Neodiprion lecontei: one gene and its partners. The protein of the gene in region 1 binds, or shares a complex with, the protein of each later gene. Links are inferred from orthologs where the notes say so. Each region holds a gene or a part of one and is shown in the gene's direction. Other genes may lie near its edges. The genes, in order: nuclear pore complex protein Nup107, nuclear pore complex protein Nup58, nuclear pore complex protein Nup205 and nucleoprotein TPR.

Region 1 (4,896 bases):
GACGGAGGGATTGTCTGCTAGTCGAAAAGAATGTCGAAGTAGGGTGATAGATGCCGCTAGTGTATGCTAGGTTGTAGGCAAAATGGTGGAAAATATGAACTTCATTCTGTGCAGGCCTACTTCTGCAGCGTTGGCCTCGTGCTGGGGTTCAGGGCTTGGAATAAATAATAGCGCCATTTACGATAAGAACAAAACTGACTCTGGTAATTACGATTCGCTGTCTTCTCTTTCGGAATTAAAGGAAAAACTTGTACGTGCATGCTTGATTCCCCTTCCCCTGCCCACGCTTGACATGCTCACTCCTTAAGTCACTGGGTGGATTTCACGTGCGGCAACACTTGGATACAGAGGTCTCTCTCGATACAGCATGTGCTGATTGGTTAATTCACCAAAATCACCAAGTATGAGACGAACTAATATATATATATCAGTGATGAGACGTCACCAAATAGTGATTTTGGTAAACTGACCAATCAGAGCATGCTGCGCGTGAAAATCCACCCGCATCTTAGAGCATATACCCGCACTCACATGGAGTTAGGTGTGGCTGGAAATTCTTTACTCCACGCCCACTGTACCATCTGATCGGAATGTACGTATATTTTATTCCTAATTACTATTCTATATCACTAATACGATATTCCAATTTTTAGAACTTAGTTCTGGCCAGACAAGCAGCGCTTTTTCCCACCTTAACTCTTAAATAATTATTATTCAGGTTTTGGTATTCTGTAAACGGTCTATTGAGACAATAAACCCATTAAAATATATTTCATGTAATTCTAATTATATTAAATTAGTTGCTTTTAAACTCCTATTGCCTCTCGCGTCCCCATCGAAACGGAGTAATATCTCAGCAGAGAAACACCTCAGCATTGCAGAGAAATACTTTAGCGGAGTTCGACATTTTAGTATTATGTGCCTTAGAGAATGTACAGTAATGCTCTAAGGTAAGTGCACACCATTATTATTCACCTATTAAAAATAAAATCCGATTTATTTGAAGTGGGCGGTTTGAATCGAGTTGCCCAGTGCATTTTAATACTCAATCGGTATCTGGCGACCCGAAACTACTAATTGTGCGTCTAGCTATATTTTCGTCAACGAATTCTAGTGACTAGCTGCTGGAAATTTCGGGAATTGCCGTTTGACGTCACACCACTTTGGTTGGATATTTGAATATCTTCCCATGACAACGGCGGCCCACGAAATAACGGACGAACAGAAGTTACTAGATAAAGGCATTCCTGGGCTGAGTTCAGAAACTTTACCCGAGTAAACTCGGATATCATATTGTCTTTAACACATGAGATTAAACAAAGACATAACGATACGAGTCACTCGAGTAAGGTTTCTGAACTCAGCCCTATCAGGTTTTGATGGAACTAGCATCCTATCGTACTACAAAAAAACTTTGTTGAGTACGATTTTTTTATGCTGAATCGGGAGATTTCTAGGATCTATTAGTACTTTCGACAATACCGAAATGCATGACTGTCGAATCTATATATTTCGCCCATCAAGTCACCGAATAGAGTGACAAAGACCAATAGCAATAAGGCAAGCGGGGACGTATACTTGTATCTTGATGTTTTTTCTCTTTTTATCGGCAAGTCTCTCAACTTATGCCAACCCCTACATCTTGCCCACTTAGGCCGTGTTCGTAAATTGACTGACAGTACTGAAAATTCCCTAGGACAGAGTCAGAGCCATTCGTGAACTTGCAAGCGCAAAAGAGATGAAAGATTGCTGACAGGACTGTCAGTCAATTTTCAAACACGGCCTTATTCTCTCTATGCTTGTCATAAAGCTCGCCACGAAAACTAGAGATTTCTTCCTGAAGACTCGTGCTAACAATATAGAAATTTCTTTGAACAGTTGGTACAAAATTACCTAAAGGCTTTGATCCGTACACCACGTGAAGACTGGCCCGCCAATTTGTACATATTGCATAGTAACCGGCAGCAATTCCGTACTGTGCTAACCTACGTTGTTTCAGTTATCAAAATTCTTGTCCAAATTTGTATTCTGAAAATATTGACAAGGTGCAACAAGTTTTGAATTCTTATTGTGTTGAGTCCGTGCATACTTGCAAATTGCAACACTGGGAAAAATGAATTAACCTGATACTCGTATTAATCTTACGGTTAGCAGTCAAATTACATGCATGCATCTATTACGGAATCGCGAGTTCTTTTTATTGGTTATCGATATAAATTGAATTTCGTGTGACGAAACAGTAGTTCTTTCTAAGTGCTGAACTACCTGTCATCAAAAATCATCGGCAAACGTTGCATTTTCCGCTAATATCCACCGTAATCTCAAACTTTAAGAAAAATTACTTTCCCGGCACATATTACATTCATTAGTTACTTTACTAGTTCAGAAGTATTCACTATTAGCTATGTTATTGCCCTCGCTTTCATCGTTTTTCACTCAATAGAATGCTGTGACCACTTGGATTATTATTTAATCATTGTAATTATTACATCAGATCAAGATGGAGCCGTTGCAAAAAACTGCAGACAACCTCGACCATTCAATCCAGTTGCTGGGCTCGGGTAGAACACAGAGAACTTCGTTGCTGCGATTAGCAACTAAGAGCACAACGCCTAAACGAATATCATTGCAACCGAATTTCAATCTCGAGAGAAGCTCGGATTCCATTGAAAATGTTCCCAGAAATTTTAGTGATGAATCTAGGTCGTTTCCATCCGAGGCTAAAAACCCACGAATGCGGAGGTCATACTTACATTCGAAGTCATTTGATAAATATGACACTGAGGACTTTGATACATCTATTACAATGGCACCACATGAACTTAGGGATATCATGAATACGACAGAAAAGACTGACCTTACTCTAAGAGAGCTGATGGATGATTCGACTGCCACAGGCTTAGTATTGAAAGCTAACGAACCCTGGCGTGAAGCGAATGCTAAACTATTCCATGAATTCCTTGAAAGTGTTCAGGCACACAGGGCTACACCCCAAGTATTTGAAACCATTGCAGATTTCATACAGACTTGCACAGATACATTAGAGATAATGCGGGGTAGGTACTAATTCGTTCACTATCCGACATACACAAATATGTAATGGTAATTTCTATTTTAAAATAGTCATCATAATTTCCAGTTCATTATACACATATTTTTAAATTCTGGAATTTTATAAATCTCAAATGAAAATAGAATAGTTTCAAAACAAAACAGGTGATTGAAATACTATGAAAATTATGAGAAAAGTCATTTATTCATTAACGGTACAAATGGTTTCAGTATCAACAAGTGTTTCAAAAATACCATTCAATTACTTCTTGTCTTTATCGATTGAAATTACAATATTCAAATGGAAGATAGAGTGAGTATTTTTCATTACTGTTACGTTTAAAAAATTTGTTGTCATCTTGATCACTATTTTTATACGTCTTGATGAAGAAAACACACTGTCAATCTATTGAAACTCAATACAAAGAATTGCCAAAATTCTGGTGGCTCTGTCCATTATTGTAAAGCGTACGAAAAATTATGTCTAGGTCTTACCTTGAAATAAAGTAACGAATTTGAACAGAATACATTTTTCATTCAGATTTGCATAAAACTGTAGTGCTCTGTTTAAAAGCAAAAGAAAGGAATAATGTCACAATTAATTTTCAAGGGTCATATCAATGAAAGGCAGAATAGCCAATTCGGTTTCTCCTTAGTACCTATGAAAAGCGATGTGATTGATATTTTTTGCACTGAGAGTGTATTAAAAAGTACTTTGATACTGAAAGATTAGCCTTCACCTGTACTTATTATATTTATTGATTCTACCTCAAAATTCTAGCGACATAATGTGTAATTTTATTAAGGATTCTCATATTGAACAGGTATGCAGTCAAAGGTCGAAAACACTGAAGTATCGGAGGAAGAGATCAACCTTGAAAATGAAAGAAATACTTGGCGTTTAGTGTACTGTCTGTACCAACACCGTGTAAACTCCTCAAACTTTCAGTCAAAAGTAGACATGGAACTGAAAACTAATATTTCAGAAAAGGATGTGATTGAAAACTTGTACAGAAATGAACCCTCGATTACTGAGTACCAGCTAATTGTCGATTGGTTGGAAAAAAACGCATCTGATCAAGCTGATAGTTTACCAATGATGGAGCATTTTACCGATAAAACTGTAGCATGGGAAAATACTCTTCATCAACTACAAAATCTAAATACGGGAATCACCTTCAAATCATCTCGGCCCATAGTAACATCCTTAGACCCTGATGCACCGATCCGAGAAGGCAGGCCCTTACACGACTTGGACAAAGAAGACGATGTTAGATTAGAAAAAAGAATGTATTTAGAGGTATGTATTATTCTCCTATGGAGGAATCATCACCACTCATTCGATTTTGTTTAAAGAATATTTTTTTTTTTTTTCACCAATTTTTGTGATCAAATTTATGAATTTGAAAATTTTAGATAACTTTGTGCCAATGTCTAAAGAATCCGTGTAGGTTTTTCATATTCCTTTTCTTTCAAATAACATTTATCTTGAATGATATTCGATCACTTCTCAACTTTAAATTATTTCTGGTATATCACGATCATATTATTTGTTGCAAATATCATCAAACAAAATCATTTAAGCACTATTTATAATTCTTAGCGTGTAATATGTATTGTATCTATCAACAAATACCATGGTAGGATATTACTTTTTCGTATTCAGCAATTTTGTTCTTAATCTTGTCTGTCTTTGCACGTCAAAACGGAAAAAAATGTTTATATAGGTAAGATGTGGACGGTTGCAAAAGGCACAGTCTCTATCTGTTCATTGTGGTCAACCATGGCGAGCTGCCTGCCTATTAGGATGGACACCGCATCATGATCCAAACTACACTAATCCCC
Region 2 (7,613 bases), on another chromosome or scaffold:
CGGAAGTTATTTATTTAGTTATTTATTTTTGTTTTTGTTGGTTTCAGTGAAAAATGGTTCCTACAAAAGTTTTCCATCGTATTGCCTTTTATAAAATTAGTCCTATACAAAAATAATGTATCATTGTTAGTTTACTTGAAAAATCCTGACAAGCACTGGGATCGGCCGTTTTGTTTATTGCTATTAATTCGGTGAATTTTCAATTCCATGTCCCGAAACTCACCCGACGTGTAGAACAATCTTTTCTCGAATTTTTCATCCAAAGTTTACCCGGCTACGCTGCCTAGTTGAGCAACAATAAACGGTCCACGTAAATCCGCACTTCTTCGATAACTTTTGTCAGATTATTTCTACCATGTGGAAAAAAATAGTCGGGATAATTTTCAATGCCTACTTTCAAAGTGTAACAGGGAAAAAGTAATTTTTGTCAACAAAGAAAGTTTTTTATAGATTTAAAATTCTAGCTCGTAAAAAAGTGTGAGCAATTTCATTCATTTTCAAATTACTCTAGATATTTTTCAAGACTCCGGTGACTTTTTCCAAAACGCGTAATTGAAATAAAAAGTTTCAATAAGTTAATTAGAACCCGAGATATGGACATTACCTTTTATTCATTTAATAATTTGCTAATTACTATGTTCGATCGGTTCAAGTTTGAGAATATTTGTCACTTCTTCAGGTATTACAATAAATATTTTTTTAAGTTTCCACAAAATTAATCCCATTGCAAGCAACAAGTTTTAAAAATTGTCCTAGAAATTAAATTTTGTTTTTGTTACAGCATAGTTTTTTCTCACCAAACCGAAAATTGGTGGGTTCGATTATTTGCTCACTAACTATAAAAAGGGGTTGTTAGTGACATGATAATAGTGGGAAAAGGGTGACGTGACAAATTTCAATTGGTTATCATCAATCATATATTTCATATTTTTTTAAAATGTTATTCAAAGTAGGTAGTAAAGCAATAACAGCTACTTGAATAGCTGCCGGTTTGCCAGAACCCGGCACGCGGTATTCAAGTAATATAAATGGATTTTGAAAATGTCCATATAATGAAATGATACGATTATTTCGAATGAATACTAAACTAAACGAATTCCGTGTTGCTTATTTTAATCACTTCGTGTATAAATATAAGATTGAAATTTTTTTGTAAGCTTCGTATTTGATGGTCCTCAGGGAGCTACGGCTCTAGGATCAATTAAAACTTTTTATCTATCCTTCGATCTAAACTGAGGCAGGCTGATTCATTCGAAAATGTTGTTAAGTGTTTAAATTTACCGCTTGTTAGCAACACATAACGAAATTGGAAGCAACAAGTCGAATCATCAAGTTTGTATGCATGAGGTAGCATACCAGCACTGGCATTCGTGACTGGGAAACAGCAATCTCAATACATTTTGTCTCGCTCCCTCCGCGCTTTGATTGGCCGAAGTAGGGCGCACAGCCAATCGCAGCGCAGAGCGACAGAGACAGAATGTACTTGTATTGCCTTGACCCCGTGACACGTGCAACCATTGGGATGCTATCTCCATGCGTACATATAAGCTCGATGGTTCAAATTGGCGGCAACGAACAGCGACATCGTGCGACACGCGGGCGACCTTAATCCTTGAGAAGTGAAGTTTCAAGCCATGTCTTGAATGTAATGTTTTGCCGAGACGTAGTATAGATATTTTTAAATATTAGATTGAAAACACTCGCAAGAAGCATGTCGAAATTTGGGTTTGGCACTCCTGCTACCGGAACCACGACAACAACCTTTGGATTTGGTAATCAAAAGTAAGTCTTGTCATCTGACAGCGAACACTCCCTCAAACTTGGCGGTAATCATCCTAACCTCAAAACTCTCATTCTCGTGAAAGATGAATAACTTTCGCGGATCACTGCGGTGATCCAATTAAAACTTATCATTGTATCATCTACTTTAATTTTCTTCAATACTTCATTGTGTGTCATAACTTGAATGCAATTAGGAATACGTTAGCTACTAGTAATGCTTTCCGAAAACAAGTTCAAGACTAGCAATTACTGATATTCGCAGTCAATACTTGTAACGCAAATTATCGATTCTATTCCCAATTCTATTACCCTCTGAGACAAACGATTAACGTATCTCAATCCTATTTTCAGACCAGCTCCAGCGTTTTCAACAGTCACACCGTCGTTCGCAGCGACGTCAGCTGCAACTGGTGGCTTATCCTTTAGTACAGCCATATCTGGAACATCAACGACTCCGAACTTTGGATTCGGTAGCACAGCCGGTACTTCGACCACTTCGCAAGCCTCGAGGCCTTTCGGCTCTGGAGGAACAGCCATAACAAGTGTATCTTCAGGTTTATTTTCAACTCCGATTGTCTCGGCAGCCCCGACTGGCGGTCTCAGTTTTGGTACACCCGCTGCTACGACAGGACTGAATTTTGGTACTAGTGTTGGCACTCAACCTACCAACACTTTAAACTTTGGTACCACTACAACCACGGGTTGTTAGTATTGTTCTCTTGAGTATTTTTAGATTATAGCAATGTTAGGAATAACATAAGGGAATGATTCACTGTAATGCTTCTTGCTGATCAAAATTTATCTCCAACTGGCTTATTACCTTACTGAGCTTTGTAGTAGTTCTCATAAGTAGAAACTCTACCAGGCAAGTCAATTTTTCTTCTATAAACTTACTTGCGTTACAAAGTTTCGCTTTGCCAAACGTGTAATTTTTTAGAAAAATTCAACCACGCTTTGCAGTAATGAGTCCTGCCTAATATTTTATCGAACGATTTCTTTACTTTCAGCATCTCTTTTTGGTGCTGCACCTGTCGGGGGTTTGTTTGGTGCCAAACCTGTGAACTCAGCCGCCCTAACGGCAACTACTAATATCCAGGGCCTTGGTGGCGTTGATGTTTCTGCCAACAAACTAGGTTTAACTCAAGGAAGTAGTAGCCCAACAGCAGCTAAGGAAAACCTCATACCCAATGAACTTACACAGACTATTGAAAACTTCAAGTAAGTAATCATGGCATAACAATGAAGTTCAATTTGGAAGACGTTTATTAGCTTTTTTGTCAAATTGGAGTAATAAAGACTTTTTTTTTATCATCTTTGTAACGTATCACCCTGAATTTTCACCAGAATATTTATCAAGACCCAGAAGTCATTCACTTCGGACATAGCTCGGGGTTCCGTTAGACCTTTAAATCGCTGCGCCGAAGACACAGCGTCGTTGATGGAACTCCTAACAACTCTCGCTGGTTCGGTACAGCGGGATCGTTCCTTGGCAGACAAATTGAAACAGGACACAGCAAAAGCTTTACAAAATGCAGAAATTGCACAACGAACACACGATACACCAGCAGGACTGCAATATGAGAACAATGCGCCATTGCTGTTCTTTATGGAACTTGCCGATACTTTTGAACAGGATTTATTATTATTCAGATCTCAGATAGAATCCACTGAAAAACATATACATACCATGGTGACACCAAAGACGTTAACTCCACAGGGTGAGTTTACCTTTCTTATTCTCACTTTCATACATCATATTTACAAAGCTCAATTTCTTATACATGTTTTCACATCATCAATCAGACTGACCACATTTTTTGATCCTAGAACTAACAATGGCGATGAGCAAGCTTCACGAATCATTAATAGCAGTCGCGGGAAAGTTGCAAGGTGTACACGCTAAAGTTCAACATCAAAAAGAACAATATCTCAATTTGAGGAAATACGTTTTAAAAGATAGTTCTAACGTATTTGAAGACAGCAAGTTAAACGAAAAAATGAGCAGGATCAGCTCTGGAAAAATCAACAGTGGTCCTACTCCATTTGGTCCAGGTAGGCTAGACAATTCCATAGGCTAATTTGTACGAATGAAGTTTGTCTTCAGGCAATAAAATATATAATAGTAACTAATAATAAAATACATTTGTTGAACCAGCCTTCGAAGTTTACCTCATTGATCTTCTTCCATAACATTTTGAATTATTGTTTGTCAGATAGCTGTTTTAAACGGGTACAGAACTGAAGGGATTATGATAATATTTAATTGTTTATTTTCAATACTTACTAAAGTGATTCCTGTTCACCTTTAACTTACATGTCATTTTAAACCATTCAAATACTCTGGTATACTCTGTACCTGTGAAGATGAAATTTTCGGAATGGCAATCGTGGGTGTTATAAACAGGAACTCTTAATTTGCAAGAATTCTTCCACGTTGTGAATAAATTATTACTTTCGAGCGATTTTTGAAGATGCATGAGTCTCAACTTCATAAGCGATACGTTTTTGAAAACATCGACGTATCTGATTGAGTTGAATTCGTCTCACTTATCCTCGAATGATGATAAATTTGCGATATTGTAAAATTTTTTATTCTAGGAAACAAAAGTTTTTTATCCTCAACAAACCTAAATACCAGCAGACCACCAAACTATGGAACAGCGAACCCTTTAGGTAAATAGTGGTAAGATGAACCTTTAGAAATACTGTGTAATTTATTGGATTTTTTTTTCTATTTTACATTTGTATAAATTTATATCCTCTTCTTCACTTTACTCACGTATTTTTCGATTAGTCACGTATATAAAATACCCCATAAACGTATCCTATATTTAGGTCTTGCAGGGATTTAGTATGAGGTAGAAATTATTACCAATATCAAAAAGTTGACGGAGAATAGATGGATGTAGTAAATTGACGCTATAGCAAACTTTAAATTTTGTTGTAAAAATTAAACATGTAATCTGCTCGTCTTCTATTTCGTGCCATGATTGCACAACGAAATATATATCGTTGAATGCGCATAAATTAAAATTGCTATGAAATATTGACGCACAAATTTTCTGAAAGCATAGGTATAGTATTAATTTTCCAACGCACCATTTGCCATTCTGCACTGCAAGCTTTCCTCAGATTTTGAACTTTGACACAAATAACAATTATCAAACAAAAAAATAGTCATAAAATTCACCAAGACTTTGTACAATTATTCTTTGCTACCAAAATATGAATTCATATACGTTATTACTGTGCACGTTGCGTTTATATACTGATTTAACAAAACCAGAGCAACTACACAACTCTGCTACATCCGTTTGCTCTATAGCTTCATTAATTTGACTCCTTTGTTTTCGTTACATAGCAGTTATTCATTCAAGTGTGATATCGTTGATTGACAATTTTACACTGTAGCTATCACTAAATATATTTATTATCTGTTTGATTTGTATTTATTTTGCCTTTACAGGAAAAAAGTAGTGGCTGTTTATTAGTATTTGAGGTATAGCATTTGTTTTTTATTTTCATTATTATATAGTGTTTTGTGTTCGGGGAACCTAGAGGGATTTTTCTTCAAGTAGCATAAATTATCATCACTCTTCATTTTAATTACTTATGTTGCTAATATCAAATTTTTTCAAAAGCTTGAATGTAACGGTATTAATTTTTCTATTTGAAGGGACAGTACAGCTTGAATAGCTTTTACCTTACTAAAAACCTTGCATGGAAAATAACTACATGCTTTTACTTCATGCTTTAGATGCTACTATTACAGATATTATTGAATAAAAATTGGTCACCTTATTTGTAATTTGTACATCACATTTGATCTGAAACTGTATAATGACTGAAGACAAATTACAGACAAGATTTGGTAAAGAAACAAAATTATAAATTGGCAAAGGACCTCTATTCAGTTCGTTTCAATGCTTATGTAAATTACATATACACTCGCTTTCGACTCTGTTATTTAAAAAGTAACGAGACACTTATAATCTTATTGACAGTTGCGAATTCCCTTGAATATGACTAGTGACAGTGGAATACTTTCATATGAAACTACCAAATGTGTCAGATTTTTCAAAATAATTTTGAAACATGCACGAGTTTTTCACTTTTTTATTAACGATAATCGCCAGTGAACCACAAACATACTATCTTGCAGTTCATTAGTGGTTATTCTTGCTAAAATCGAATATTCTTGCGAAAATTCATATGTCGATCAATAGATTTTTGAAAAATCTAATATTCCGTAGATCCCTCGTGAGTTGTGAAGGGGAAAAAAACAGCCGATTCACAGACAAAGACGCGGAATGATTGCATCATTTAATATGGGATGACTTTATGACGGAAATGCTTTAGGAAAGTCTTTTTGTTTTAATTCGAACAGTAAACCTTCTTGCATCCATTATAAAGAATATGCTTATCATGAACAACATATTGTTGTATTAATTTTTTATTCACTCATTCTTATGCATAGTTATATAACTCTTGTCTTTGCAATGGTGATTAAAAATTAGATTTCATTAATTCCCTATGTCAAATTCATCTGAAATTGCTTTGGCTTTAGGTGAACAGGCTTATGCTTGGACAAGAAAAATGCATGATTCTAACAATGTACTGTTAGGATTCTCCCGAGCACACCTAGATATATTTAAATATTACCCATTTGATTTTGTGCTTTGTAAAATTTTTGTTTTGTTTTTTCAACTAAGGGGGTCTGTAATTTTTTTTTAAATCAATATAACCGGATATTTATCTAGGCTGCTTTTCTTTTATGGAACACAAATCAATACAGAAATATAATAATGCAATGTGCTTCGTAAAAGTAATGTTAAGTCGTTTTAAGTAAGGGGGATTGTACTTATTTTAAATCGAGTAATGGGATACCTATGGAGGCTGCCTTTCTTTTATGGAACACAAATCAATACAGAAATGTAATAATGGTTTTAATATATACGCTGACATTTTTTTTCTTATTTTCGGAGAGCTTAAAAGGTAGTTTACTGCCCTCAAGGTGTGTGTAAATTTAATTTTGTAATACTTTCTAGAGGCGATGTAATAATGAAATTGTTTCAGCTTGGGGTAATGCAACGTCATTACAAACAGCCAGTAGTATTTCAGTTGGTGCGTCTGCCAAACCACCAGCAACAGGTTTGAGTTTTAACACACCGTCAAACTTGGCAACTTCTCTATCAGCAACAGACTCCAACTTCAGTTTTCAACTTCAAAAACCACCAACTGGTAACAAGAGACATAAGCATTAAAGTTGATGAAAAAAAAATCTAAGTGTATTTTGGTATTACATTCGTCGCATAAAATCCAGATGAAACGATTGTATACTGGAAAATATTGTTTCATGGATTTTTATCCCGAGAAATTGGATGTAATAAGGGGTATTACAGTATTGGAAGGACCAAACGTGTGCTCGGTATGAGTACCTGTCTAAAAGTCAAAAATATGTAAAATCATGAATCTTAGTGATATTCGAAGAAAAAAAAAATCGAAACTAATTTATTTGTCATTTTTTTAGTCGAAAAATCTGTAATTAAATCCCAAACATAATCAAAGTGGACTTACGAAGAAACAAATTCCATACTTTCATATTTACGATTCGAATTGGGCAAATGTATTTTTAATGAGAAGCAAACTCGCATGAATGCCGAGGGTCATAAGGGAATCTGTGAATAATAGTTGTTTTCGTATCTTTTTGTACACTTAATTTTCTTAGAAGACAAAGTCTTATCATGTCAAGAGTTTTGTTTTGCGAGTAATGTAAGTGCGTAATAAGACTTGTTTTACGCACATTTCATTTGCTGTAAAAAACAAAAAAA
Region 3 (7,598 bases), on another chromosome or scaffold:
TTTTTTATTCTTTAACAGTGCTGCTTCTATTTTTTTCCAATATGTTCGACTTGTAAACCCTGAAAATGAACGGTGATCATTAGAACAAGTTTGTCTACTTTGTGACTTAATTAATCGTTGAATAAAAAAAACCAAACGAATCTGTTCAGAACGGTGCAGAAAGAGAAATATAAAAACATGCAAATTTGTTTTATATTCAGTAATTGTTGCGCGTAAAGGTGAGACGATTAAAGGTACAGTAGTAGAACCTGTGTTATCGAAAACATCGATGCTTGAATTTAACATAAGGCAACAGTGAAAGTTGATGGTTTTCCTGAAAATAGAATATCGTTCAGGGTAGAAAAAGCATTAATAAATGGAATTTGTATTCTATTGAAGTTAAGGAAAAGTAAGAAAAAAGAATATAAATCACAGAACTTTTGAACCTAGTGTGTAATTCTAGCCTTCGCTATATCAGACTAGAGACAACAACATGGAGAATATGTACACAAGTGTGTGATATACTTGTTGCCTCTAAAAATTGAGGGGGGTCAAGAAAATGCAGCAGGATTTGATTCGAACAATGTAGTAATAAACTAACAATGAAGCAGCTGATTTTGACAATGCACACACAGAATCGCGACAAAAGTGGTTAATTTTGGTTTTCAACAACGTTAAAAAAAAGTTCGTCTTTTTACGAAAAAAAATTGTAAAAGTTTAAACATAACTGAGCACCTCAAAAACGCGACGCGAGGCGAAAATTTTTTCCAAAATGTAGAACCGAAGTCTATAAAAACATCGAAGATATGGTGGACCAACATAACCCATCCGAGTTGTCAGTGACGTCGCGTCTGAGGACGGCGCGAAAATAAAACAGACGCTCCAGACGCTTTGCGACGGACGGCGTTTGGGTTATTAAAAAAAACAAATAAATGAGATTCTTTCAAGCTTAGATTAATATACTTTAGTACTGACCGTTCAAAACATTTTTCCTTCCCGCAGACAAAGGTGAAAGCGTACTCCGTGATACCGATCTCACTGTGTTTTTATGCTACACTTGTCTACACTCACGGACAACTTGCTGCTCTTACTTCGATCGCAGCTGTCCTTCCGGAAGTCGTGCTTCGCATACGTATATACTTTATTTTTCGAAATACAATTTAGACCTCGGCCATTTCCGGTATCTTTTATCAAATTTTATATTCAACCACGAGCTTGTCGATCGTTATTTTTCATTTTGGAAATTTAAAATCGAACGAATCATCGTTTTTGATTGCGTGGAGCTGATAAATCGTTGCATTTATCGCCTATTATTCGCATTGACGAGTCTCGGAACACATCGAGTAATGACGTTTTTTCGTCGAGTGGCCAACGAAAATAGCAACATAAATCAAAAAAGCGCTACAAATATATATTTGGTTGAAGTTTGGCGCATTTTTTTGTTATAAATTTGATCCAAACTGCATTTAGCGATCGGATTGAGTAACGTAGTGGTGAAATCCAATGACGCTTGGACCCAACCGAGTTCCATTGATGAAGAAGGTTCTTTTTTTTTTAAGTGGGTGGCATTGATCAATTATTTACCTTTTTTAAGTTGGCGACCACTGCTCGCTCGCGACCATGTATCATGAACGCAGCCATGTTCACGCGGTTTTACAAATCAGCGCCAACCGCCAATTCACGAATGAGTGTTTGTCTCTTTCTTCAGTGATTGTTGAATTTGACCTTCTGAGTTTAGTTTAAATAGCGCAAGGATGACTGAAGGTAGGTCTGCGTATGCGTCTAACTTATTCTACATTAATTACTGGAACTCTTCTCCCGGTTGTAACGTGACATAACCTAGTTTTACCCAACTTCATCACCGGTACAAATGCAACAACGTTTATGATCAATTGTCTGTCAAAATACGTGGTTGTATTTACCTTCATATTTTGTATGCTTGTTCAGTGATACAATTCACGTTTCGGTTGATAATTCGTTTTAGCGTGAATTTGAATTTTCCTAGGTTAAGTTTTGTCACATCGACACCATTTACTATTACAGAAAAGACAAGTACGGAGGACATGTGGACTCCTTACAAGGAACTCCAGAGTCTCGTCGATCAATATATTACCTCTGCACCCAGTTCCCACGATCCACAATACCATGAATTTATGGAAGCGCTTCGCAATCACCGACAGAATTTTCTAAATCTCCTAAGCAATCCTGTAAGCATAATATTTCAACATGTAGTAGCTGCGACTTGGAGACCTTGATTGCCATGTGCTAAGTTTATCATATCCTCATTCTAGGCAAAGAATGCAAAGAGTCGTGAGGAAATTAAAAATGCAGTGACGGAGGGTATAACTCTGCCTGGACTAGGTCACCAGGTTTTGTCCAAAGAATTGGTTGACGAGACAATTATATTATCCGACATGTACGAACTAAATGAATTTATGGCTCTTGACTTACTCTGTACTGCTCAACTTCAAATGCCGCATCATCCTGGATTGACACGAGGCCTAACTGCTGTCCTTCTGTACTATGACGGGAAGAAAGCTCTCACCTCAACATTGAGGACTTTGGTTCAAGCCAGAAATGGTCATACTTGGGTTCTCGACACACCCGTTACGCTTACCAAGCAAATTACGGAGTATACCAACAAAATGCAGGAAGACGGCCTGCTGGACAGGATCCTGAACCTTTTGGAGGATATGGATCCGACGAAGGTAAAAAATTTGTATTTGGTAATAGCACAAGATTTAACTTGGCGCTATTATAAGTAGATTCTTCTTTTAGGAACAAGAACTGTTGCAGCAAAACAGAGGCTTAGGAGGAGCCAAGCATCATCACATGGTCATGCGTCTTTATAACGGTGCCAGGCAGGATCTTGCCGATATTTTATACCTTTGGTCAGCTCAGTCAGCTTTGCCCAGTCACATCACTCACAGACTTTTGTCGTTACTTCACAATCGTCATCCGGAGGCTGAGGATGGGACTGGTGGCCCTGATAAAGTCACGTTGGCATTGATTATGGCTTTGCTCAATTCTATAAATCTCAGCTCACTTCACACCAGAGAGGACGGTGAAAGTATGTCTACGATAATAAGTAGCCTTATCCAGATAATTGCATATTATTCCTTGACTGTCGAACGATGATTTACTTTCTTTTTTTTTTCAAATTTCAGCAATTGTTAAAGCAATGCCGCTTATTGACGATCCTGACATGTTGCCACAGCTCGTAACCGAGCTAACTTCTGGTAATGTAAATTGGGAAAGTGCCGGACTTCGTGGTTTGATTCAGTTTGCGCTAGCTATTGCCATAGCAACTATAAAATCTGCACCCAATCTGTGTCCTACACAAAATATCACCGAAGAGGATGAAATTTTGGTGGAAGCTGCTCTGGCAAACAAGGCTTTTCATTTTTTGGCTGAAGTTCTACTTCAAAGCTCTCACATCCACAATGAGGAATTCTATGTTCGTTACATTCACACACTCATCTCTGATTTTATACTACTCATGCCTTTGAAGGTGAAAGAGTTGAGAAATAGAGCCGACGAATCAATGCGTATCGTTCAAGCCTATCAACAAGAAGGCATCGAACCTCCCATGAACCTTGACAACCATTTTGAGTACCTCATGCTGTCTGTCGCTGAACTGTACAAAAAGGATCCCCTCAATTTGAACCTTGCAATGGATTATTGGTGTCAACATTCCGACTCCTCTCATATGCCGAGCACTTTGCATGCGAGCCGATTACCTCCAAGGCAAGTTGCTCTGTTCAAATTTGTCAGAGTCGCCGGAGAAGTATTGCCCAGCGGGCTATTTGGACCCTACCTAAGAATGCTAGCATCACTTGCTTCTTCCCTACCAGCGGCTAGGCAAGCATTCAACTTTCTGAAACTTAATGGTAAGCTGTACGGCTTGATAACTTGATTTGAAAGTCTATTAATAAGAGGTAATCTTGTGTTATTACTGCATTTAATTTTTTCAGGACCTTCGGGGGCAACGACCATTTCCTGGGATCATTTCTTCAACTCCTTGAGTCGCTACTATTTTAATTTGCGACAAGAACTCCCACCTTCACAAGACACGGTATACCGTCAAAGAAATCATCCCAAAGGTATCACACCTCACGAGGTCAAAGGCTTGGAAGCTGTGCTTCTAGTCGTTCGGGTTGTTGCTTACTACGATGAAGTTTCTCGAATAGCGATATGCGAGCATCCAGGCTGGAACGTCTTGCCTTCTATTATTGGTTTGGTGGGCTGTGCTATGCCGATTCCATTAAAAGGTGCGTTAGTCAGAACGCTCGCAGCTCTGGCAAAATCTCCGGAGAGTTCATCTACCATATGGCAAAGTTTGGAAGCTGCGCAAATACTGAGTACCGTACCAACGACCAGCAGCTACCAACCGAGAGGAATTCAAACGGAATTAGAAGAAATTGAATCTAGAAACGAGGAATTTCCTTTGACCAGAGCAATGTTGGAGCTTCTAGATGTCCTTACTGATTTTCCGATACCTCGACTTCTGGGTGTTGGCCTAAGAAATCCAGGCTTCGATCCGTACTTACATTTCATAATAAATTCCGTATTTTTGCGGTTCAACACACGGTCGTATAAAAATCCTGGGGAAAAGTGGGACGTGTCCGATGCCTGTCTGAAAATATTCATTAAATTGATAACACAGTATGAGCCAACTATCGAAGACTTTATCGGATGTAAAATAGAACTACAAGGCGGTGAATCGACTGTCGTCAATCCTCCTCCTGGACACCATTTGATAACGTTGCTACACTCAAATTCCGAGTTTCTACACGTCATTCTGCTCATACTTGACGAAGGATGCCATCTTTTGGATACTTACGACGATTTTCCTGGTAAAACAAGCCTCGAAAGCAGCACTTTGCACTGTTTGCAGATATTGGAGCATGGATTGGCAGCCCAATATCATTACATGGTTCAATTGGCTGCAGCCAGCTCAACCAACAGAATTTTAACAGGGCTATCCCGCCTTTTGCTAGGTGTAAATCCTCGCACGGGAAAACCAGACCACATGATTAACATCGTTAAATACATATCCTACAACTCATGGCTCACTCAACACGCCTTTGTGTCAGTTGGCATTGTTCAAGGCGTCGCCAACGAACCTGGAGCAGATTCAGAGTTACTTTCTACATTCACGTCTACTCCTTCGTTGGCAACGACGATCAGGCATGGTTTCGTAGAGTGTCTGGATTCTGACGAAAACTTTGAGTCTGAGGAAGAAATTGGGAATGAAAAACGAAGCGGTAATTGCAAGGGCAGGATTTTGTCCCTCTTGATGCAGAGCATAACACGCCCTGCGCCTAACATAGCTCATTACCTACTTGGATTCGACATCACTAAGGACATAAGAAAAACTGCAATTCAACAACCTGGAATACTAGGCTTTCCGAGGACTTGTCTGCACTCTATACTCGGGATATTGGAATTATCGTTGGAGCGTGGCCGTGACAAGATTACAGAGGCTTGCTACTGGTTCCTTCACATACTGGCTTCAAATAACAAAACCTCTGTTTCCGTACTTCGGTTCCTTCGGACAGCCACCAATCAAGATTTCGTACAACGTCATCTTTCCAAGCTGCCATTCCAGGGAGCGAACAGAGCGACTGAGCTTGCCTGCATGTCCTGGCTGCTAAAAATATCGGCAATTGAATTGCGCGTCGCTGGTGGCAGCCTTCAGAACTCCCTGATTCAAAGACTAGTCGGCAATCTAATCCATGACAGAGATCAAATTGTGCCATCCCAAAAACTCCTGATGGATCTACTTCACTATATCGATTTCCAGTTAAATCTAGATCCTCCAAAGTCCTGGGAATACTTTGATCCGTCTCAAATTGAAATGGTGTTGGGACGCTGCAGCATTCCAGTTCCACTTGGTGGAAGTCCCCAGCTTATAGATATCAGAAAACTTCACAATCTTATAACAGAAGAATTGGCTGGTACGCAAACTAGCGCAACTGCGACTCAGCGTAAGCTTGTGCAACAGGAGCTGCAATCTATCCTTGCATACGCCTTGAAACGAAATCAAACGAAAACCCTTTCTTACGCTACTGTGAAGTTCGTCGAGGGCTGGTGTCAAACAACTGAAATTTTATTCTCTGTCGCAACGAACCAGCAACTTCCCGCTGCTCAGAGGCAAAATCTTCTGCTAAATTTGTCACATGATTTACTGCAGAAGATGACGTCTTGCGAAGCTTTGAACGAAATCAAAACACTTGTATCTGGAACCGTGCTCGTACTACTAGTAAACCTTCGTAATAGCTTCTCCATGCAATCTGACGATGAGCTGCTACCGTCTTCCGCTGCAAATACAACAATGATGAAGATTATCCTTAGTCATATTCTTCAATGGATCTTAAATTCTGGTGTATCCTCACAAAAAGTTCGAACCCATCTTTATGGGGCACTTCTCAATTTCCTCTGTGTAGTCAGTTTGGAAAGATCGGAAGTTGTGACCAACATGGATTCCATGTATGTTAGTCAGTTAGATAGTTCGTATTATAGAAGTACGCCGCTACAGGAGCGTTCGCATCGATATGCGACGATACAAGTGATCAGTAGTTACGGTAACAAGTTGATGGATATATTGTCCCACGATTGTTCCGGTGGACACGACGTCTGTAAAATGCTGTCATTATCGTGCCTCGACAAAATTTTAGAATTCGATTGCAGCAATACGTGGGTCACATATCTGGCTAGCAGAGGGTACCTTAAACACATGGTAGACAGTCTTCTGGATTCTGACAATTTATTGCGAACAATGCTTCAACCAGATCCACTCACTCTGCGGCCCCTGTATTTATACGAATCAAAAATGGCAACGCTCTGCAGAATGGCGTCGACCAGACTGGGTGCCGAATGTCTTCTGGAAAATAAAGTCCTATCTTGCTTATCAAGCATGTGTGTTTTCGATCAGCATCCTGACGTAAATGTGGGCTTTGAAGGTGGAGATATATCCTTTGTGCCTTCCATAGGTCAGCGGTATCAGCAAATCTTTTTACCTGCACTTTATTTGTGCGATGCTTTGCTGACTACCCTTGGAACGGAAAATCAGTCTTGTGCCATACAAGTTTGCGGATTTTTACAGAGTCATCGAGATACCGTTGAAATGGTTTTACGGAATGCATCACCTCATTCTAATGTTCTGTTCCTCAAAGAAGTCGCCAGTCTCACCGGGGTCATCGCAAGGTCTGCCAACATTGGTAGGCATCTCTCATTCAATTGATTTTTTCATGATTTTATTTCTATTTTATTCTATGCAAATATTTAATTCTCTTCTTTTTCAGACATGTATAAACTTGTTGACGAGGAATTGGCCAGAGCCAACTCTAACGAACACAAATCTGAAGATAGTACAGGCATGAGAGAATTGCGAGCCCATCTTTATAGGCTCCAACGTTTGATGCTCTCCATGGTCTCCAGATTTCAGCCACAACTGCCTCCCGTCGTACCTCTACATCAACAAATGGAAGCTACCCAACAACATTCGTGCGCAATACAAATTGCTGCCAACGTTATGCTGTACACTCGTAATCAAGTATGTCAAACTTACCGACGCAACTCATTTACATTGATTGAAGATTGAACTGTGTTCAAAA
Region 4 (4,994 bases), about 18 Mb from region 1:
AGGCCTATGTGAACAATGGACTGCTGGTGTTCCAAATTTGACCTGATTACTCCATTCATTTCCTTGTACATCAAAGCCTTCAGCACTATGATTCTTCTGTGTGTCTACAGTAGTAGCTTGATTTTGGTTCTCAAGATTGGTGCTAGTTATTTTCTTCTGTTTTTTTTTATTTCTTTTTTGGCGTTTACTCAACTTTTCTGAACATCCTTCTTCCTGGGCTTCAGTAATGCTATCTTTCACTGCACAATCACTGTTCAATAACTCAGCTTTCTGATTTTGCTGCAACAAATCGATTGCCGCTTGACCAATATCAGAATCAGGGTTCGCTTTCTTGGATTTCTTTTTCCATTTCTTACATTGCTTATATTTCGAACACAGGTCTTCTACCGCAACAGAATTAGACTTGGCCTCTAGCAGAGTATCACCAGGAGTTGAATTGATAGCTTTGTTCTTTATGTCTGAACTTTTTGACATATCAGTTATCTTTGCAGCCATTTCTGTTTCGTTTCCAGTTACATTAAGTTTTTTTTTCTTAGCTGATTTTGGTTTAACTTGACCAGTAGTACTAGAATTTTTGATCTCATCACTACTAGCTTGAATGTTACTCTGCTTTTTGTTTTTTATTTTCACTGGAATTGCAAGAACTTGATCTTTAAAAGAGTTATCATTTAAGCCCTGTACCTCAACAGCCTTCTGATTTTTATTGTTTTTGCTGCCTTTGATATCGTGTAATTTGTCAATTTTATTTTTCTTGGATTGTAACTCTGGAACGTTGTCAAATGCTGCCCATTCATGATTCACATTCCCAAATGTATCATAATATAATCGGTTATCCTTCTCTGCAAGTAACTCAGTAGCAGTTTTTGGCTTTTTCGTGACAGCTTTGGATGCAGTTTGACTGTCTTCAAGCTGCATTTTCATTATACTCCATGGTGTAGCCTCATCAGGAACACGTTCATTGGATGCTTTGGAGCCCTTGGCTCTGGTAAATCTAGTCATGTTGGATAATCTTCAAGCAAAGAAACAACACAGCCGAAGGGTACCTGAAATTACATATAATTCATATCAACTTGTAACGACATAACCAATTTTTAAATAATAGTCGTCAAGGTAGAAAAATCGAAACGAAATAGCACGCTACTTCAATCCTGTTACACATTATTCGAGGTTAAACAAGCAGTCTGCTCGGAATATTAGAAATGAAATGCAACTGTAAAGTGCTGGAATTTAATAAAGTATCATTAAAGATAACATTGGCGATGAATTAACAATTTTATTCCGACATGTGTATCCATATTTAAAAACATTTTCCGCATTACCTGCGGCGCAATTGACAACGTATTAATCCACGTGGTCGGTAGTTTTCGGAGCACAGAACCCCTAACAGAACTTATCGGGAACGCCAACTGTTGGCTGGACGACAGACAGCGACATCGATCTCCCGCTGCTTACCCAGACTCGAAAAAACCCGGGAATGTATAATTCCGATTGCGTATATACCTAACCTGAAAATTGCTGTCAGCGATGAAAATCCGTGCAGAATGAGGCTATGGAAGGGCTACCCTACAATCTGATAGAGCGAGTGAAACTCAAAATTGGTATCCTGTTATCAGTAGCTTTTGAGTAGCTTATGCTCATCTAGCATTGATCTTTTCCTTTACTTCGAGATACAGTTGTTTGTGAACTGCAGCCTTATAGCATATACTACTCAAGGTAGCCTCGCGTGTACTGAAAGTATAGTGAGAGAGTGAGATAGTTTATCAATGCCATGTACTACCTATCTCCCTCGCTTCACAACCTGGTTGGCCAATGCGTTTCCTCTCAGCCAATCAAATGCAGAGTGAGAGAAACGGAGTATCCAGGGTAACACGTGGATATATGTCGCGCTCTCTCATCGCCACGGCCATAGTATTTGCGAGTTTGACGGCATGGGTAGCTAACTCCAGTAGTATATGGTCTAAGACTGCAGCAATCACGGTAGCACTGGCTGCATAATTACGGAAGTCGACCAATGTCAGACCTGTTCTCAACGAACTAACCAATAACGTTACTTTTTACTTTTACCCACCGTTATGCTACCGTGACGGCCGATGATTTTAAGTTGGTAATAATCCTAAATCTGTATATCTGGCACCATTTTCTTCACAAATCAACCGACAACCGCAAACGCCGGTGAAGATTGTAGAATCTGCACGAAAAAGAGACGCGGATACATATTAAAATTTGTGAATTATCGGCAAAAACGATATGGAAACAATAGAAGAAAACCCACACAACGTGCTAGGCAGCATATTGAATGAAGAAGAACTTACACATATTCCAAAGGGTGTCAGCGAAAAGTTGAAATCGTATTTCGATGAACGGTTCGAAGAATTTATCACTGCTAAAGCTGTTTTTGAGACTGCCAGAAAAAATCTCGGTAAGATTAGCGTTACTTTTCTGCCTCCGATATTTACCGTTTCAAAACTCCCTTCAAACTGTTCACTGATGTCTGTTTAACCATCCAATTTTGCTTTCTTCATCTGCCAGAACAAAAATTAGAGACTCTACAAAAGGATTACAATGAGCAGAAACTGGATTTGGAAGAATGTAAAGGCAAACTGGAACTGGCCAACAAATATACAAATGAACTTCAAACCAAAGTTGATGAAACTAGGTCTGAAGCAACAAGATTACAAGAATCACTTAGAAGGTACAAATATCTTTAGTGTGCTTCTTCCTAGCTCTAGGTTTACATTTCAAGAAATGTACGATCAGGCAATTCATTTCTTAAATTCCAGGTAGTACATATATGTGCATATGTTGTTTTTTCTGTGAAAGAAAATGGCTATAACGAGTTGCCTAACAAATTAATTGACTTCGAATTCCTTTGAAACAATAGATATTTCGCATCTAAATTTTAGTATTCTGTTACTGATCCATTTTATATAGATTAGAAAAGGATAACGGAGAGCTGAGACGTCAACGGGATGTAGCCACAGATGAAAGAGATGCATTACAACTACAGGTTGAACGTCGAGATGCAGAACTTGAGCGTACACATGCCGAGCTGCAAATGCTCAGTACTCAGCTGCAGACAGCGGTGACTGCCAAATGTCAGGCTCTGGCTGACACTGAAGAGATCCGCAGTCGCGAGATGTCTTTAGATTACAAGTCAGTAGATATTGTATTTGTTAACTCAAGTTATCCATAGGTTTCAAGTATTCTAACAGAGAAATATAAATCCTTGTTGGAAATTTGTAAATACATTTATTCACAGGGAACAGCGTCTGGAGAAAGAGCGAACCCTTTTATCTCAACAGATGGCCAATTTAGAAGAAGAGCTATCAAGGCGCACTGGAGAACTGCAAAATGTTCGTACTGAATCGTCCAAGAGATCACTGTTGACAGAAACCCAACTTTCACAGCGTGAGGAAGAACTGCGAATAGCTAATGATGAGATTAGTAAACTCCGCGAAGGAAATTCCCTCATCATCAAACGCTGTGATGAAATGGCACAAAAATTAGAAGAACAAAGAGCTCATGAGCTTTCAATGCATGCTTCTTATCGTGAGGAAGTTAACGCTCAAACTAGACTAGCTGATCTTTATAAGGGAATGGCAGATGAAGCTAATGCCAAGGCTGAAGAATTTAGTTCAGCTGTTAAAGAACTACAATCCCTGCTTGAACAAGCCACAGAGCAGTACGGTGTGCTTGAAACACAGCACAATGATCTACAAATACGAATTGATGAAGAGGTCGCTGAAAAGTCACAAAAAATCGAGGAGCTTGTAAAAGAGCTGGAACGAGCGAATGATTTACTGAAGGACGCCAAACAAGGTATAGTTTTAAAGTTGGATATCTAATTTCGATCAAATTTAAGGCTAGATGTGAAAACAATTGCGTTTAGATCATACTTTTGAATACTTTTTCTTGATCAGCTTAATCCATGAAAGTTGCTCGATGAATTACCAGACATCCATATGATATATTAAAGGTAAGCATGCTAAGAACGTTTTGACTTAATTATTTACTATGTGCTCCATAGAAATGTTAGACCACGCAGTGGAGCAACTGGCTCCAACAGCAGCAGTAGCAAGTAGGCTGTTGAAAAAAGGCTCCAGCCTGACCCAAATTTATACCCAATTGGTTGATGCTACCAACGAACTGGCAATTGAGAAAGAAGAAAATGAGCGATTAAAGTCACAAATGAATATAATACTCCGTGAACTTGAAGATAAGGCACCGGTACTGCAACAACAGCGTGACGATTACGAAGCCGCAGTTGCCAATGTTACAATGCTCACTTCGCGTCTTGATGACCTTCTTGCTGAAAATCATCGTTTGCAAGAATCTGCAGATGAGGCTTCGCGCATTGCTAACCACCATGTTCGGGAAAATAAACGGCTAAAGACAGAGCTTGCGGATCTTGCTAGACAGGTATTTCTATATATTTTAATTTAGATTTCTTCATTTACATTTGTTATGTCTCAAACACTACTCAGTACAAAAAAAAAAAAAAATTATCATGTGACAAATATCTCATAGGAATACCTGTACAGTCGTATGATCATGTTAGTAGAGTTATTTTTCATCATTCCAGGTCTGTTTCCTTCTTAAAGAAGTCCAGGAGAGTCGTGGAGGTTCGACAGTCCTCTCTTCCACAATAATGGAGTCTGACGACCTAGCATCTTCTCAAATTATCAGCAAAAAGTTGGTTACCTTTAGAGATATTGAAGAATTACAGGAAAACAATCAAAAATTGTTATCAATTGTCAGAACATTATCTGCAAGACAAGAAGAAATTGAAAAGGCAACTGATGAAATTAATTCTGGGGAGATGAAAGAAAAACTTGATAGGTACATTACTTTCACAGCAAGTCAATGATGTATTACACCCCACTGTGTAATTTGACGTAAGGAACCCATTTAATGGTATACGAAAGTAAATATTGTCTCATTTCAGGTATGTAGAACAACTATCTGACATGCAAGCGGCGCAGGACCGACAATCA

The links.
Region 2: nuclear pore complex protein Nup107 (region 1) and nuclear pore complex protein Nup58 share a complex: the UniProt entries of both Drosophila melanogaster proteins name them as parts of the nuclear pore complex. The link is inferred for Neodiprion lecontei from reciprocal best matches to the Drosophila melanogaster genes Nup107 and Nup58.
Region 3: nuclear pore complex protein Nup107 (region 1) and nuclear pore complex protein Nup205 share a complex: the UniProt entries of both Drosophila melanogaster proteins name them as parts of the nuclear pore complex. The link is inferred for Neodiprion lecontei from reciprocal best matches to the Drosophila melanogaster genes Nup107 and Nup205.
Region 4: nuclear pore complex protein Nup107 (region 1) and nucleoprotein TPR share a complex: the UniProt entries of both Drosophila melanogaster proteins name them as parts of the nuclear pore complex. The link is inferred for Neodiprion lecontei from reciprocal best matches to the Drosophila melanogaster genes Nup107 and Mgtor.

The regions. Positions count from the first base shown.
Region 1 is NC_060260.1:13,190,964-13,195,859, forward strand, and holds the start of nuclear pore complex protein Nup107, read left to right. Parts: upstream 1-1,881; 5' UTR 1,882-2,045; exon of another isoform or gene 2,046-2,146; intron 2,147-2,494; 5' UTR 2,495-2,500; coding exon 2,501-3,056; intron 3,057-3,875; coding exon 3,876-4,351; intron 4,352-4,778; coding exon 4,779-4,896. UniProt on the Drosophila melanogaster protein: Plays a role in nuclear pore complex (NPC) assembly and maintenance. Required for nuclear import of Mad. Mediates the association between the nuclear pore complex and a subset of active chromatin regions adjacent to lamin-associated domains.
Region 2 is NC_060265.1:8,736,046-8,743,658, forward strand, and holds the start of nuclear pore complex protein Nup58, read left to right. Parts: upstream 1-1,580; 5' UTR 1,581-1,711; coding exon 1,712-1,782; intron 1,783-2,133; coding exon 2,134-2,486; intron 2,487-2,789; coding exon 2,790-3,000; intron 3,001-3,126; coding exon 3,127-3,500; intron 3,501-3,609; coding exon 3,610-3,834; intron 3,835-4,380; coding exon 4,381-4,455; coding exon of another isoform or gene 4,456-4,463; exon of another isoform or gene 4,464-4,465; intron 4,466-4,617; coding exon of another isoform or gene 4,618-4,634; exon of another isoform or gene 4,635-4,767; intron 4,768-5,248; coding exon of another isoform or gene 5,249-5,259; exon of another isoform or gene 5,260-5,281; intron 5,282-5,424; exon of another isoform or gene 5,425-6,858; coding exon 6,859-7,046; 3' UTR 7,047-7,613. UniProt on the Drosophila melanogaster protein: Component of the nuclear pore complex, a complex required for the trafficking across the nuclear membrane. Together with Nup54, required for transposable element silencing regulation in ovarian follicle cells.
Region 3 is NC_060261.1:2,748,901-2,756,498, forward strand, and holds the start of nuclear pore complex protein Nup205, read left to right. Parts: upstream 1-1,595; 5' UTR 1,596-1,733; coding exon 1,734-1,743; intron 1,744-2,022; coding exon 2,023-2,186; intron 2,187-2,270; coding exon 2,271-2,687; intron 2,688-2,757; coding exon 2,758-3,049; intron 3,050-3,146; coding exon 3,147-3,869; intron 3,870-3,953; coding exon 3,954-7,202; intron 7,203-7,286; coding exon 7,287-7,537; intron 7,538-7,598. Other genes in the region: PAN2-PAN3 deadenylation complex subunit PAN3, read right to left, coding at 715-807. UniProt on the Drosophila melanogaster protein: Plays a role in the nuclear pore complex (NPC) assembly and maintenance, but with limited role in NPC permeability. Required for specific nuclear import pathways such as Mad import.
Region 4 is NC_060260.1:31,011,529-31,016,522, reverse strand, and holds the start of nucleoprotein TPR, read left to right. Parts: upstream 1-1,968; 5' UTR 1,969-2,247; coding exon 2,248-2,419; intron 2,420-2,529; coding exon 2,530-2,692; intron 2,693-2,931; coding exon 2,932-3,153; intron 3,154-3,259; coding exon 3,260-3,819; intron 3,820-4,027; coding exon 4,028-4,419; intron 4,420-4,582; coding exon 4,583-4,839; intron 4,840-4,945; coding exon 4,946-4,994. Other genes in the region: uncharacterized protein LOC107221997, read right to left, coding at 1-999. UniProt on the Drosophila melanogaster protein: Component of the nuclear pore complex (NPC), a complex required for the trafficking across the nuclear envelope. Functions as a scaffolding element in the nuclear phase of the NPC.